3 linked regions of the Arabidopsis thaliana genome follow. The protein of the gene in region 2 interacts with the protein of the main gene of each other region in a pairwise test. Each region holds a gene or a part of one and is shown on either strand. Other genes may lie near its edges.

The links.
Region 1: the proteins of AT1G44960 (region 2) and AT5G49760 interact in a protein complementation assay, tested with the Arabidopsis thaliana proteins (one large-scale study listed by BioGRID).
Region 3: the proteins of AT1G44960 (region 2) and TH8 interact in a protein complementation assay, tested with the Arabidopsis thaliana proteins (one large-scale study listed by BioGRID).

The regions. Positions count from the first base shown.
Region 1 is NC_003076.8:20,214,468-20,221,910, forward strand, and holds AT5G49760 (Leucine-rich repeat protein kinase family protein), read left to right. Parts: upstream 1-1,864; 5' UTR 1,865-2,211; coding exon 2,212-2,299; intron 2,300-2,378; coding exon 2,379-2,499; intron 2,500-2,574; coding exon 2,575-2,646; intron 2,647-2,730; coding exon 2,731-2,805; intron 2,806-2,898; coding exon 2,899-2,970; intron 2,971-3,056; coding exon 3,057-3,221; intron 3,222-3,315; coding exon 3,316-3,390; intron 3,391-3,485; coding exon 3,486-3,557; intron 3,558-3,636; coding exon 3,637-3,708; intron 3,709-3,795; coding exon 3,796-3,864; intron 3,865-3,952; coding exon 3,953-4,027; intron 4,028-4,112; coding exon 4,113-4,184; intron 4,185-4,280; coding exon 4,281-4,415; intron 4,416-4,491; coding exon 4,492-4,967; intron 4,968-5,057; coding exon 5,058-5,213; intron 5,214-5,282; coding exon 5,283-5,419; intron 5,420-5,508; coding exon 5,509-5,728; intron 5,729-5,801; coding exon 5,802-6,037; intron 6,038-6,111; coding exon 6,112-6,585; 3' UTR 6,586-6,915; and 1 more. UniProt on the Arabidopsis thaliana protein: Leucine-rich repeat receptor protein kinase that acts as sensor of extracellular hydrogen peroxide. Required for intracellular calcium influx in response to extracellular hydrogen peroxide.
Region 2 is NC_003070.9:16,997,485-17,002,343, forward strand, and holds AT1G44960 (SNARE associated Golgi protein family), read left to right. Parts: upstream 1-1,961; 5' UTR 1,962-2,091; coding exon 2,092-2,396; intron 2,397-3,482; coding exon 3,483-3,963; 3' UTR 3,964-4,250; downstream 4,251-4,859. Other genes in the region: AT1G44970 (Peroxidase superfamily protein), read left to right, coding at 4,753-4,859.
Region 3 is NC_003070.9:26,319,506-26,323,608, forward strand, and holds TH8 (thioredoxin H-type 8), read left to right. Parts: upstream 1-1,892; 5' UTR 1,893-2,034; coding exon 2,035-2,217; intron 2,218-2,910; coding exon 2,911-3,033; intron 3,034-3,148; coding exon 3,149-3,289; 3' UTR 3,290-3,497; downstream 3,498-4,103. Other genes in the region: NRT1.7 (nitrate transporter 1.7), read left to right, coding at 1-592; AT1G69890 (actin cross-linking protein (DUF569)), read right to left, coding at 3,921-4,103. UniProt on the Arabidopsis thaliana protein: Probable thiol-disulfide oxidoreductase that may be involved in the redox regulation of a number of cytosolic enzymes.

The sequences.
Region 1 (7,443 bases), on a different chromosome or scaffold from region 2:
AACCCGTAAATTATTTTTTTGTTTATTTTGTATTTTTGATACGAAAGCCCATAAATTGTGAAGTAAAAAGGCCCAATAGGCCCATAAAATTGGGAGAAGAGACGATCATCGGACAAACCGAGAAAGTGAAACAACAAAGAAGAAACCTGACTCTTCAGAAACTATTCAGGCGAGAGAGAGAGAGAGAAACAATTTTGGACAAGAACAGAAACGATGTACGTTTTCTGTGATCTCAATATTAGATATAGTATTCCAGTTAATCGGAAACAAAGAAGCAACAATTTGCAAATCACGGAGGTTGAACCACTGGAGGAGTTGGATTCAGTCTGGAAGGAAATCCAAGTTAACCAACAACACTTTTAGATAATCGGAACACTATATTCAATGACTATTTTGATTCCAGAGACTGTTTTGCAACCCAAACAGATCCTGATCTCAAGAATAGCTACCAGAGTAGCTATGAAGGCAGCCGTGTATGATGTATCAAGTTCTTCACATCTTCAGGTTCAAAGCTAGTAAACCATTTGAGAATCCATCCCTGGCAACATTCTTTCCTTTCTAAGACATTGAATTTGATGAGCTTTATACATCTTAGGTAATGTTACTGTTGCACCAGAACTTTGTGATTCCGGCAATACCATAATTTAGGAGTTGTAATTAATCTTCCTTGAGATATTATGCTTGTAAAACACATGTTTAATAAGTTATTCAAGACTTTTCCACAAGTCTTGTTGAACGTTTTTGAAGTTGTTGAGAGATATCATAGAAAATTCCAAAAATAATGAATCGCTAGATCAATCTATATCCAAACTGATTATTAAGACCCAGTCAATACACAAATTGCTATTCTAGCAAATGTAAGTGGTGAGGTGCACCTTAGGCTTCAAATGGCCACGGCGGACTGACAAAACCATTTGCGGGATTGGATCTCTTGTTGTTTACCATTCATAAACTGTAGTCTGTGGACCGAAAAAAAAAAAAATCGCCGTAGACAAACTAGCTACTGATTTTACATACTGTAGAAATAAATTTGGTATGGAGCTGACAACATGGTTTAGTCCGCTCCGCCCGTAACATCCATTCAAAGCCTTAACATATAACGTAGTTAACGCGTAGAGTATTTGAGTGTATATATGTATCCCCTAAACACACGTAGTTGCACGAGTGTAGCTTGTGGACACTAACAGTTTCAGTCCACTATCAAGTTGATCGACAAAACATTATGTTGACATACATCAATAGCTTGATCCTACCACTACAACATTGCTATGATGTTTCTCCACTTCTTGTTGTTGTTGTTGTCCTTGCTACTTGTACTCTCTTAGTCTCCCCTAGCTTGGTAATAAAGTTCATCAATAGCCAAATTTAAAGGTTTGGTCCTTGTAAGCTTGACACAACACAAATTAGTTACACATCTTCTTCTCATAGCTCACATTTATTTATATATGTTTTGCATACCCACTCGATTATTAAATAATTAGTTTTGAAGTTCTAGTCAATATTTCATCAAATCATCATCATCATCATCATCACTGTTGTTGTAATTAGTATTAGTATATCAAGTTGGAAAATGGCTTGTCCTCATTTTTCCAACGAGGCAACGACCATGACTTTATTCAATCTTGGTTGTTAAAAAAAACATATCACTGCATAGTTGATGACCACAACTATATTCCACAAGTCTCTCTTTCTGAGATCTAACGATTTGGGCAAACAAAATCATATTTTATTCTTTGTTTTTGAAGTTTATAGATATTTTTTTTTGTAATCAATAATGAGTGTATTTAATACAGTAGATAAATAAGGGTCCTACTTTAGTTTCGCATCACGACAACTCATATGTATACTTTAATGTATTGTTTCATAAATTGTTCCTTCCCATTACTCAATTGACATTTCCATTTAACAACTCTTCCCAATTGTGAAACCTTTATATCCCATTATCAGCTGTTTTAAGTTGACCAAGTTTTTTCTTATGGTCCTCTTCCTATTTTCTTCTTTTGATATACTTTTTTTTTTAACTCTATTTGTTCAAAGTCTTCGTCTTCTTTTTGTTAACATTATTGTTTACATGTTTTTGAAAGAGAGATTATAATTTTTATTAAGAGATTCGTCAAACCTTTGTGTAGAGCACATGCTTTTTTCTTAGATTATTTTGAGATAGGATCAGAAAACAGAGGAAGTGATAAGAGGTTCTTTTTGGGTTTGAAGATGAGTTCAAGAACTGGAGCCTCTTTGCTCCTGATCTTGTTTTTCTTCCAAATTTGTTCTGTTTCGGCACTCACGAATGGTTTAGACGGTGAGTGTGTGTGGATATATACATATACAACCATATAGATGATGAACAGAGTTTTTCCTAATCTTGAATATTGGTGCAGCTTCTGCTTTAAATGCTCTGAAGAGTGAATGGACCACTCCTCCTGATGGTTGGGAAGGCTCTGATCCTTGTGGAACCAATTGGGTTGGAATTACATGTCAAAATGACCGCGTCGTTTCAATGTAAGGCTCTGTAAATTGTTGCTGCTTCTTCCAATAATGCTCTGCAGACTTTTAATGTTGTGTTGCTTATTGTAGATCACTAGGTAACCTTGACTTGGAAGGAAAGCTTCCTGCCGATATATCGTTCTTGTCCGAGTTGCGGATCTTGTATGTCTTTCTTTTTCTTTCTATTTTTCCTTTCACATAAAAATGGTTTTTGGTTGTTTTCATCTTATTATCCAATCTTTGTAGGGATTTGTCATACAATCCTAAATTGTCCGGACCGCTTCCACCAAACATCGGTAACCTTGGGAAGTTAAGGAACTTGTAAGGAAACACACTATCATTAAATCTCTAGTACACAACTTATGTATCACTTTGTCTTATCTCTTATTTTATCTAACTCTTTTTACTCTCCAGGATCCTTGTGGGATGTAGTTTCAGTGGTCAAATCCCTGAGTCCATTGGAACTCTAAAAGAACTTATATATCTGTAAGATTCTGTGGATTCATGTTATTATAAACAGTCAATTGCATTCTCTAAAACCATTAGTATTAATTTTTGTTTCCTCAATACAGCTCCCTAAATTTAAATAAATTTAGTGGAACAATTCCGCCTTCAATTGGCCTGTTATCAAAACTATATTGGTTTGATATAGCTGACAATCAGATTGAAGGAGAGCTTCCAGTTTCTAATGGGACTTCTGCACCTGGACTTGACATGCTTCTTCAAACTAAGCATTTGTATATATAATCCCAAATCTTTCACTTCCGTTTATTATAATCACTCCTTCTAATATAGTAATTGATCTGACTCTCCTTTGCTTTTTTCTTGTAGTCATTTTGGAAAAAACAAGCTTTCAGGCAATATCCCAAAAGAACTTTTCAGCTCAAACATGAGTTTAATACATGTGTAAGCTTCATATTACATTATATAGCTGAGAGATTTCATAAGTTGTGAGTAAGTAACTAACAAAGTGACTGCATTGTTCGTTGTTTTATCGATAGCCTCTTCGATGGAAACCAATTCACGGGCGAAATTCCAGAGACCCTCAGTCTCGTTAAAACGTTGACGGTGTTGTAAGTAGTAATATATATAGTTCAAATTTTTTATTTATCCTAACGTCTATAATTCTTATGTGTTTTTTCTTGGTTCTAGACGCCTTGATAGGAACAAACTCATTGGAGATATTCCTTCATATCTTAACAATCTCACAAATCTTAACGAACTGTAAGTGAGCAACTAAAGATTTGTTCTTTTGTTTGTTGAAAATAAATGAAAATGAGGTACAAGAATTTGTAGTTGAATACATTTCAGGTACTTGGCCAACAACAGATTTACTGGTACTCTTCCAAATTTAACCAGCTTGACCAGTCTCTACACATTGTAAGTTTTTTACATTTATCATCACTACCAATCTCAAACCTTCATTCTTTACCAATCTAATGCCATGATGTGATTGTAAATGTAACAGGGATGTGAGCAATAACACTTTGGATTTCTCACCCATTCCATCATGGATCTCTTCATTACCCTCCCTATCAACATTGTATGAACATCTCTGTCTCTGTCTTGTTCTCCATTTATCTCCCATGTGTATACTTTCTAAGAACAAAGGGTTTTCTTCTTCGCAGAAGGATGGAAGGGATCCAACTTAATGGTCCAATACCAATCTCATTTTTCAGCCCTCCTCAGTTGCAGACTGTGTGAGTAAAAAAAAAAAAAAAAATGAAGCTGGAAATGAACTCAAGAATTATGAACTTTGTACTAAATTGGGATTCTTTTTTTTTTGGACTTTGCAGTATCTTAAAGCGAAATAGTATAGTGGAAAGCTTAGACTTTGGTACAGACGTTAGCAGCCAGTTGGAGTTTGTGGATTTACAATACAATGAAATAACTGATTATAAACCATCAGCTAATAAAGTCCTCCAAGTAATGTATGTATCCTTGTCACTAATCAAACATGACTTCTATTTGTCTCAATCAACTGCTTAAGTGTTTATATATCTACAGATTGGCAAATAATCCAGTGTGTCTAGAGGCGGGAAACGGGCCGAGTTACTGTTCAGCAATCCAACACAATACCTCATTTTCTACACTCCCAACAAACTGTTCTCCATGCGAACCGGGCATGGAAGCGAGTCCCACGTGCCGCTGTGCGTATCCATTCATGGGAACACTCTACTTCCGGTCTCCTTCTTTCTCAGGGTTGTTCAACTCCACCAACTTCTCAATTCTACAGAAGGCAATCGCGGATTTCTTTAAGAAGTTCAATTATCCTGTAGACTCCGTTGGTGTTCGGAACATAAGAGAGAATCCAACTGATCATCAGCTTCTAATAGATCTATTGGTCTTTCCATTGGGAAGAGAGAGTTTTAATCAGACAGGAATGTCACTTGTTGGTTTTGCATTTAGCAACCAGACTTATAAGCCTCCTCCGATATTTGGCCCTTATATTTTCAAAGCTGATTTGTACAAACAGTTCTCTGGTATGATGAACCCTTGTCACACACACAATCAAACTAGAACTAAAGGTTGTTATTGATAACTCATTTGCTCTGCCTTTCTTTTTGTCACAGATGTAGAAGTTTCATCAAAGTCATCAAACAAAAGCATTCTCATTGGAGCAGTAGTTGGTGTTGTTGTTCTTCTACTATTGTTAACAATAGCTGGGATTTACGCTCTTAGGCAGAAGAAGAGAGCTGAAAGAGCAACTGGTCAAAATAATCCTTTTGGTAAGACAACAATATTTACTACTCCCTTGACTAAAATAGCATGAACAAATTTTCTTTGGCATGTTGCAGCTAAATGGGATACAAGTAAGAGTAGTATTGATGCTCCGCAGCTAATGGGAGCAAAAGCGTTTACTTTTGAGGAGCTGAAGAAATGCACTGACAACTTTTCAGAGGCAAATGATGTTGGCGGTGGAGGTTACGGCAAGGTTTGTGTCTTAACAAATGCCTTCAAATGAATGTAACAACTAATGGCCTTAGTTGAAATTCATGATCCCAAATTTTGATGGTTAAATAGGTTTATAGAGGGATTCTTCCTAATGGGCAACTCATAGCAATCAAAAGGGCTCAACAAGGATCTTTGCAAGGAGGGTTGGAGTTCAAAACTGAGATTGAGCTTCTCTCAAGGGTCCATCATAAGAATGTTGTCAGACTCTTGGGCTTCTGCTTTGACCGGAATGAACAAATGCTCGTATACGAGTACATTTCAAATGGGTCACTTAAAGACAGTCTGTCCGGTAAGATCAAACTTCTATCTTCCTCATGAGGATTTCAGATAGTTCTTGGATGCTGAATATGTTAGTAATGCAGGGAAGAGTGGGATTCGATTGGATTGGACAAGAAGACTTAAAATAGCACTTGGTTCAGGCAAGGGCTTGGCTTATCTTCATGAACTTGCTGATCCTCCAATTATACATAGAGACATCAAATCAAATAACATATTACTTGATGAAAATCTAACCGCAAAGGTTGCCGACTTCGGTCTCTCCAAACTTGTGGGAGACCCTGAGAAAACTCATGTCACAACACAAGTCAAAGGAACCATGGTGAGTAGAAAATTTATCCTCCTTTCTCTTTTTTTCTCAAATACATTTTAAACTTACAATATCTTTGTAATCAGGGCTACTTGGATCCAGAGTACTACATGACGAATCAATTAACGGAGAAGAGCGATGTGTATGGGTTTGGTGTGGTTTTACTCGAGCTATTAACCGGTAGAAGTCCGATAGAGAGAGGCAAATATGTGGTGAGAGAGGTGAAGACAAAGATGAATAAATCTCGGAGTTTGTATGACCTGCAGGAGTTGTTGGACACAACGATCATAGCAAGCAGTGGGAATCTAAAAGGGTTCGAGAAGTATGTAGACTTGGCTTTGAGATGTGTGGAGGAGGAAGGAGTTAATAGGCCATCAATGGGTGAGGTTGTGAAAGAGATTGAGAACATAATGCAGCTTGCGGGATTAAATCCTAACTCAGATTCAGCAACGAGTTCAAGAACGTATGAGGACGCAATCAAAGGATCTGGTGATCCTTATGGCAGTGAATCGTTTCAGTACAGTGGGAATTTTCCAGCTTCAAAGCTTGAGCCCCAATGATTGATTATGTTTCTTTTTGTTATTTTGTTATTTCGTAAGTGACTTCATACTTGAAATGCCTTGTGAATGTGGAGTAGCATGATTCTGTTTGATATGTGGTCGCTGATTATAAAGCAGATGAATGGAGAGCCAAACGCAGAATCAAAAACCACCAGATCTTTGGCAATGTCGACACCAGTTTCAAACATAAGAAAAGTAATCAAGCTCAATGTATGATGAATAATTGAATATATTAATTCTTGTTGAGAAGTTTGTGTGGTTTCAAAGATTTAATCCACACATCACACACACTTTTAATTTACTCCAAACCTTTCACATTTATGCATGAGATTATATTACAAATTTATATTACAAATAATTTGTAGTACGTAAGTAAAATTAGTATTAACTAATAAGAAAAAAAAGTAATAAAGTTATTGGGTTTGCAACCTAACACATCAACGATCCCATCGAACAACAACAGTTACATGACCCAGGGTGAATTTATGGTTGTCGTCTCATCTGAGAGCACTCTCTGATCTAGTGTCCTTGTTGTCCACACCTCAAACACGCCCCCAAAATGTATGACATGATTTAACAAAAAATAAAAAGAAACATGATTTAAGACATGTGGTGTGTGGCAACTCTGCCATATATTTCATGGTGAGGTAGCGAACCGGCACCAAGTTTTTCTCGATATGTTTCCTCCATTTACCATTCTTTACGGTAGACTACGGTAGACTCATAACTTTTTTTATACCGGAGTCATATCGTATTAGTTTCTTAAGAGGATTAAAGCACACATATGTTTTTGTGTCTTATTTACTACAAAAAGTCTTTTTACTAAAACACTAACAAAACAAAAATAACATACAAAAA
Region 2 (4,859 bases):
ATTTAAACTAGATTTTAATCCGCGGTATATCGCGGGACGATTTATTTTTTAAAAGTAAGATATATTGAAACTTGCAAATTTTATTCTTATAAAATATTTATATTTTACAGTTTATAATTGTTACCACAATTTTTAGCTTAAAGTTTTATATTTTATAGTTTAATTTTATATATACTAACATTATACATACCACATAACATTTTTGGTTTTATATAATCTTTTCTAAATTAGGATGATTTGATATGTTTAATATTAATGGTCTTAAAAAATAATAAATTAAAGATTTAACCCGTATTGAAACGGTGATTTAATTATATTTTACTTTTTTTATTAATGTTGATTCAAAAACCCGTCCCTCCAAATCCATCTTGCCAAAAAGCCATTTATTTTATTAATATTAATTTTATTTATGATATGACTCTAAATTATAATCTAAACATTTTAGCTAATAACATAGAAGTGCACCATATTTATTTAATAGGGGAATGTACCATATGACCCGAATGCACTTTTACCCAAATCCACCAAAAAAGTCTTGCAAAAATACTATAGAGATAAGAAACGATAGTCGGTTTTGATAGGTATAAGATTAGCAAATATATTAGTTAGCTTAAATTAGTTAAAGAATACAAATTAAAAAGATATATTACACTTTATTCGAATATAGTATAAAAACTTATATAACACAGAGATTTGATAATTTTTTAATTGTTGAATACTTTTTTGTGCTAATTTTTATGTGATTAAGATTTAGTTGATTTCGTATATAAAATATTAAATTGTTTTACGAACTTATTTGTTTATAATTTGGTAACAGATAGATATTTGAATATTCAGTATATTTTGCTTAAGTTTAGGAAATCTTTGATGACCCGTCTTTAAATCAAATAAGCCCTATAATTAAGAGATGAACTAGGATTTAACCCGCGGTTTACCGCGGGCAATCGGTTTATTTGGTTCTTATACTAAATATTTGAATAAATTTGATATCCTAAACTTATAAATATAAATTTTTTAATCAGACATAACTAAATAATAATTGAGATTTTTTTTTGGTTGTTATTTAGTGATAAGAAGAATGTGTTAAAATGTGTTTAATTTTTCTTTTGTTATTTACTTATTTTTGTTGAACGGATTAGATTGAAGTGAATTAAAATTATTGAACGGTTTAGATTGAATCGGATCATATCAAGTTTAGGAGATTGTTAAGACCAAATTACCCTTAATGATTTTGAATAGCAAAGAACAAAATCCAAAATTGAAATCAAAATTGAGGCCAAATTAGACAAAATTTCAATTTGTACTTCCCTTTTAATAATAAGAGGATATTGTCGTTAAAAGATTTTGGTAATTAATGACGTCATTAAAGGATTTTGTTTTTGATTAAATTTTTCTAATGGCATTGTCATGTAATTAACTACAAAAATTAAGGTTAAATTTAAAATGTACTTCCCAAATAATATAGTAGGATACTTGTAATTTGTATCATTTATATGATATTTATATTTATATTTATATTTTATAATTGTCATTAAGTAACGATATACCACATAAGAAGTTTGTTTTGTACAATCTTATATTAATTAGACAGATGTTATATGTCTAACACTAGTGATATTAATAAATAATAAAATAAGAATTTCATCTGTATTAAAGTAGTAGGTTAATGATGTTTTATTTACTTATTAATATTGTTTCAAATCCGTTCCGCCATATAACTCCGTCTCGGAATATAACTCATCGCATATTATTTTAATTTTCCTAATATTATAAACTTTTATTGATTTTAAATACATCAATCATAATATTAATAATAATTTAAATGAAAAATTATAGAAAATAAATCGTGATTGTCAAGTTTTCACTTTTGATAATTTTTTCTTGTAATTAGTCAATTAGTGTTATATTGTGGAGAGTTGAATAGTCTCATTTTGCAATTTTAGAAGATCAAGGGTATATTTCCAAAACATTGCAGTTTTGAGGATTCAACTTGCAATTTACCCTTTTCAAAAATCACTTTCGACAATTACCAAAAACCAGTTCCCCCATTTCATTTCACGCTTTCTTCTCTTCTCATCTCAGAGCTCCGTGATGAAGAAATGGTTAGCAATCGCAGCGACGGTGGCGATAATTGCAATAATCGTTAGACAAGGCACGACACAATACGGATGGAACAAAGAGGCGGCGTTGGAAAAGCTAAAGGAATGGTCAGATCGGCTGGGGATTTGGGCGATTCCAACGTATGTAGCGGTTCACACAATAACCTTAGCTCTTTGTCTCCCTCACGCCGTCTTCTTTGAAGCTGGTGCTTCTATGCTCTTTGGTTTCCTTCCTGCTCTTCTCTGTGTTTTCTCTGCTAAAGTTCTCGCCGCTTCTTTCTCCTTCTGGATCGGCAGGTCTGCTTCTCAATTGCACTGTTATGTGATTCAAATTGATCTGTTGGATCGTTAGTTTGTGTCGCTAATGTACGAATTTGATCGAAATGATTTGGATTTAGAACAATGATTCTCACATGGCTTATCTTGGCTTCGTAGAAAGTATATGATTCATTAGTAATACACTCTGGTTTAGTTTATGTTATCGTGTTTTGTGAATGCTTAAGGTTTTACTTGGAGATGGTTTAGATTTTTCTTTAGTGCACCATTGTTGAAACCTTTTGCAGAACGTTTATTGAAATCCATTAAATTGTAAGCATGAATGATAGGAAGGGAATGTTTGTGTGAAGAAATGGTGTCATTGTTGGTTATTCAGCGGTAAGATAACACCGTTGTTCACCAAAAAGGCGGAGAAGATGCATGATATTTTCTTGCGAGATTTAGATGGATGTCTTCAGATTCTATAATGGTGTTTGGATAAGAGTGGTTGTTGTCTTGTGTATGTGACGGAGATGTAAAGAACCGTTAGATGCTTGTCATTTGCTTGTTAATATATGCTAGGGAATGATTTGCAATATTCACATTTATGCTGGATTTTTACATGGCTTCATAGAAACTATATGCTTCATTAGTAACACTCTGATTTAGTTTAAGTTATCGATTTCTGAGATTTTACTTGGAGATGTAGAATAAACTCTTTTGTTGGTTTTGATTGTCCTGCTATCGCTGAAACCTCCGTATACAGAAGTTTTCACGAAAATCCATTCTACTCTAAGCATTATAGGAAGTGGATCTTTGTGTAAAGAAATGATGTCATTTTGGCTGTTCAGAGGAAAACTAACACCGTTATTCGCCAAAAAGGCGGAGAAGATGCATGTCTTCCTATTCTATAATGGTGTGTGGATGAGATTGGTTGTTTTCTTGTGTATGTGATGGATATGTATGGACTAATTGTTAAATGCATGCTGTGATTCTAATTGCCAATTAATATATGTAGGAGAATGCAACTAGGATGTTGATTAACCTTAGCAATGTGATATGCAGTTTTATTTATTTATCTATCTATTGGGAGCACTTGCATTCTCTCATACTTTTTTGAATTTTCAGGTTTGTTTTTAAGAGTTCCACCAGAGCTACAGGGTGGGCGCATAGCAACAAGTACTTCAATATTCTCTCAAGAGGAGTTGAGCGCGATGGTTGGAAGTTTGTTCTTCTTGCAAGGTTCTCGCCCATTCCTTCCTATGTCATAAACTACGCTTTGGCAGCTACTGAAGTCCGGTTTGTAGCTGATTTTCTGTTCCCCACGGTTATTGGCTGCCTCCCGATGATCCTGCAGAACGCATCAGTCGGTAGCCTCGCTGGTATGGCTGTGGCTTCAGTAGCTGGAAAACAGAAAAGTCAGGTCTGGGGTTATGTTTTCCCAGTACTTGGGATACTGTCAAGTGTTCTGATTTCATTGAGGATCAAAAAGTACTCAGCTGGAATTACAGAGGCATCATCAGATACCTCTGCTAACAACTCTAGTTTAGCTTCATCTGAAACTGCGAATCCCGCTTATGGAACCGATGGATCCAAGAAAAGTGAGTGATTATACAAACCATGATGGTGGTTTTTGATCGCCGGTATTACACTTTGTTTGGTTTGCAGCTATCAGATTCTCAACATCATGGCTTATTTTGGACGAGTTAGGCAGTATCTTAATAGTAACAAAGCATTAGTTTTTGTACTTCTTAAGTTAAAAGCTTAGAACAAAACAACAGTGTTATTTTCTATACCAGACACAAAAACTGTGTCGTTGTAATAACACTTACCATAACATTTTCTTTCAGTGTATGTTTAAAGCCGTTTATATGGTTGAAGCAATGTGACTAAAATTTTTGTAGCATTGAAACAAGCTATATTTGCATTGCTATGGTCTTGTTTTGTGACTAAAAGACTTGGATGCAGAATGGATATAAGTTAAATGTCTGATTTTGTAAATAACTTATGAAGAGAAAATCTTTATTCGGTAAGAGTTGTTTTCTCAATGTAGCAGTTCACTCATCATTTTCAAACTTCAACTCTCAGAGAACACAAAGAGGTTAGACAGTGCAGATGCTTATGGTTGAGAAGCTTTACCTAACAATGGTACAAGGCGGTTTTGTTGGGATCACATGTGAAGTTAGGCACATGGATTCGTTCTTGGAGTTGGTACAAGGACTTCTAAAAGACAACAATGAGGTATAATAAGGACAAGTTGACTATGTCTCTCTCTTTTATCTTAACATTCTAAATTAGGATTTGGTAAACTGAGAGCAGTTAGCTTCTTGAATCTCTAAAGTATAAAAACCCTCACCGTTTTACTACTATCTCATCTTAAAACTCCCAAGTAACAAAAATGGCTATCTCAAAGCTTATTCCTACTCTTGTGCTCTTTGTTTTGTTCTCTTTTGATGTTAGTGTTGCTCATCCAGGTCTAGGATTTGGATGGGGAAGTAATAGTCC
Region 3 (4,103 bases), 9.3 Mb from region 2:
CGTTTTTGTACCATTCATGCGGCGAATCACCGGCCATAAATCCGGAATCACACTCCTCCAAAGGATAGGAACAGGGATCGTTTTCGCGATCTTTTCTATGATCGTTGCGGGCATTGTGGAGCGTATGAGACGCATACGCTCCATCAATGCCGGAGATCCAACGGGAATGACTCCAATGTCGGTGTTTTGGCTTTCGCCGCAGCTAATTCTCATGGGACTATGTGAAGCATTCAATATCATCGGACAAATTGAGTTCTTCAACAGTCAGTTTCCAGAGCACATGAGAAGTATCGCTAACTCTCTCTTCTCTTTATCGTTCGCCGGTTCGAGCTACCTTAGTAGTTTCCTTGTGACTGTCGTTCATAAATTCTCCGGTGGGCATGATCGTCCGGATTGGCTAAACAAGAATCTCAACGCGGGAAAATTGGATTACTTCTATTATCTGATTGCGGTTTTGGGTGTGGTTAATCTGGTTTACTTTTGGTATTGTGCTCGGGGATACCGGTACAAGGTCGGTTTACCGATTGAAGACTTTGAGGAGGACAAGTCCTCCGATGATGTTGAGATGACTTCGAAGAAATCGATGAAATGATTTAATAGACTATCCTTAGGGACAACAAGAAGATTGTCGATGTTGTTTGAATAATTACTATGACAATGTATGTATCATAATATGTAAGAACTAGAATATTTAATAAAATTTTACCTTTCATTATGTAGAAGTGTTAGATATAGTTCACAGTTTTGTCTTATTTTATAACTTTGTCATCATACTCTCTGCCTGGAATCAGAAAACCATCTCTAACAAGTATATTTAAAATCATAAAAGTAATCTAGTTAGATGGATTGCATTTGGAACTATATCATATACACTATGTTATGACTTGATAGAAATATAAACAGTATAGTTTTAATTGATCATTTCTATGGAGGATCACGTTATTAGGCATAGTTTCATCCTTTATCGATTACGGACGGTAAATGAGTACAACCCAACTAATATGTTGTAAAGAAAAGCTACTACTGCTATTACTGTTAATATTAATATTAGACTTCTTGGGTACATAAAAAAAAAAAAAATATATATATATATATATATCATATTAGACTTCTAGAACACCAAGTCCAAAACATATTTGGCATGAAGCAAAAATATCTACTGCTTTATTTTGTGTCTACCTCTTTGCCACATGCTGTATATTCCATCATTCATTTAACCTACAATTGAATTCCGTTTTAACGTTTATTCACTCAATTAATATATTGGGGTTTGACAAAAATAAATAACTAGTATATAGGTTTGTATGCTTTTTTACTGTTAGCTAATAAATAGAAAATCCAAAAGAAGCTTTCATACAAAATCAACTAAATTAAAATGAAAAGTTATAAGGGAATCATATATTGTGAAAGATTTGGAATCCTTTTTTCACGGCTGTAAAAGGGTCAAACACTTCTGCTGCCACCATTGTTGTCTCTCTTGCGAGTCTAAAAAGTAACTCACACTAACGAAAAAAAAAAAGATAGAAGAGAGATAGCTGTGGATATCACGTTGAACTTAAAATTTAGGTTGCATAATCAGTGGATGGATAAATAAATAGAAATAAATTATATCCTAAACTTAAAACAAACAATATAATAAAACGTTTTATACAATTCCAGATTTATTCAATATATTGGATATGACTCATGCGATAGATATAGCGTAAGACAGCTATTTAGAATTCCAATTATAACTTTATAGTTTTCACGAACTGATTCTAGACAACTTGATTTTTAATTTGGACTTTAAGATTACTAAAGTAGGTTTACATGCAACTTTCCGCTTACTTCATATGATAGTTTTGCGCTACAACTTAGAGCCAATAGAAAATGTAGTGTTAAAATTGGTTACGAATTACGGCTACTTGGTCCACCAGAGAATATTTGACGTTATATATAAAAGCCAACTCTTCCGCTCTCCTTGTGCTCAAACTAAGAGCTTCTACTCAAAACCATTTGCTTCTTTCTGCTTAGAGAGAGAGAGAGACACACTCAATGGGTGCTAACGTTTCTACTCCAGACCAGAGATTTCAGGTAACCCACTTCCGTTCAACGAAGCCATGGACACCTCGACCTGAGATTTATCCTTTCAAAGTCAACAGTCCTTGTATTGTGGAGATCAAGAACATGAATCAGTGGAAATCTAGGCTCAACGCTCTTAAAGACACCAACAAGCTGGTAATATATTGACTAATGCGATCTATAATCTAAGTTAAGCCATTTTTGCTTTAGATTCTATTTTTAAAATTTTAGAAAAGTATTCGAACTAGGGTTCTTATAACCAGATTCGAGACATTTATAACATAACAATAATGCATTAACTTATATGAACTTCCAACTCAATCTAAATGGTAAATAAGTAGTTTGGTCCATATTCATCATATTCCAGATCTCAGTTTAAAGATGAGGTGAGATTTTGAACACAACTCACAAGATAATGACTCTTCTGGCTCATCTAAAAAAAAACTCGCTCTAAAGTCGAATCATATCCCTTTTGGATCATTCTATCGAGTCAAAGTTAGGCTATTATAGTTGGCTGCAAATGGTTACATATTTCAGTGAAACAAAAATCCTCTCAAATTTTACAGTTTGGGATTCAAAAAAAGAAGAGTGAAATAAATTATGCATCCCATTCAACGTTAGTTGGATGAGCAAATCAGAGAAAAATGAGATAAACCAGTTGAAAATTATCACTCGCAAGTTATTCAACCAATTACTCTTTTTATCTTATTATTTTGAGGGACAACCATATTACTCTAGGTTTCTTCTTATTTTCGAGTTGAAACTCCTAGCACAATGCAACTAACCTTGCTCTTAGGCTTAATTTGAAAATATCATAATGAACATTCACTTTTCATGTTTTTTATATAGCTGGTGATCGAGTTCACAGCTAAATGGTGTGGACCATGTAAAACCCTTGAACCAAAGCTCGAAGAGTTGGCTGCTAAATACACCGATGTTGAGTTCGTGAAGATTGATGTCGATGTCTTAATGGTAATAAATAATCATTCTCCTTTTCTTCATCTTTTTTCTCAAAGTCTAAAGAAAAGGTTTCAACAAAATTTGTGTTTGCTTTTGAGTTATAAAATAGTGTTTGGTTGATATACAGAGCGTGTGGATGGAGTTCAACCTTAGCACTTTACCTGCGATTGTATTCATGAAAAGAGGCCGAGAAGTAGACATGGTTGTGGGTGTGAAGGTTGATGAGTTAGAGAGGAAACTCAATAAATACACACAATCCTTCTTCTGAACGTTGAATTCCTAACACGCCAAACAAAACTCCTCATCACCTTACGCCAAGAATATATAGTTTACTACTATGTATAGATAAAATGTTTGAACGACGATTCAACAAAATAAAACTTGTTTGTGTTGTAAAGGAATTGGATGTTGGATTTGCTATGTACGTGTCTCATGTAATATAAAATATATGATCAGCGATTTGTATCGTTTTTTCTATCTTTCATATGATTTTTTGAAATAAGTCAATAGCTCTTTAGTAGAAGAACAATTTAGTAACACATTTTATCAAAGTGGGAGAGTTGGTGAAGACTTGCGCAATGATTGGGTTACACTTTAATATTTAAAAAAAAAAAAAAAACTTTTATAGTACAAACAATTTTTTATGGCGAATTCACATAAAAAATGGGAGGACGAAACTTAAATGCTTCGTTTACAAAATAAGCTTATGTACAATAAAATGAAAGATTAAATCAAATCCACAATAATAGTCTATCTGAACTTTCTATGATTAATTCCACACTCGTATCTAATGGAGGCAACTAGGCAAGGACCAAACTCTCAATCTTGAGCCTAATACTTCAACTACTAGTCTACTTATATAATACATTCGAAATAAAGGGGAACCACACAGCTTGCCGTTAAGTACTTGAGGGTACTAGAATGACATGCATTGTTCCACTATTAGGTGGAAGTTGCAAACGAAGAGGAAACAGCTTGCCGTTTGAAGGATGGCGTGTACAGACCACAACATCATCCATACTAGTCTCTTCTTGCAACGCCTGCGTCAACTGTTCCACGCTATTTCCTTTGAAAGTCAACGC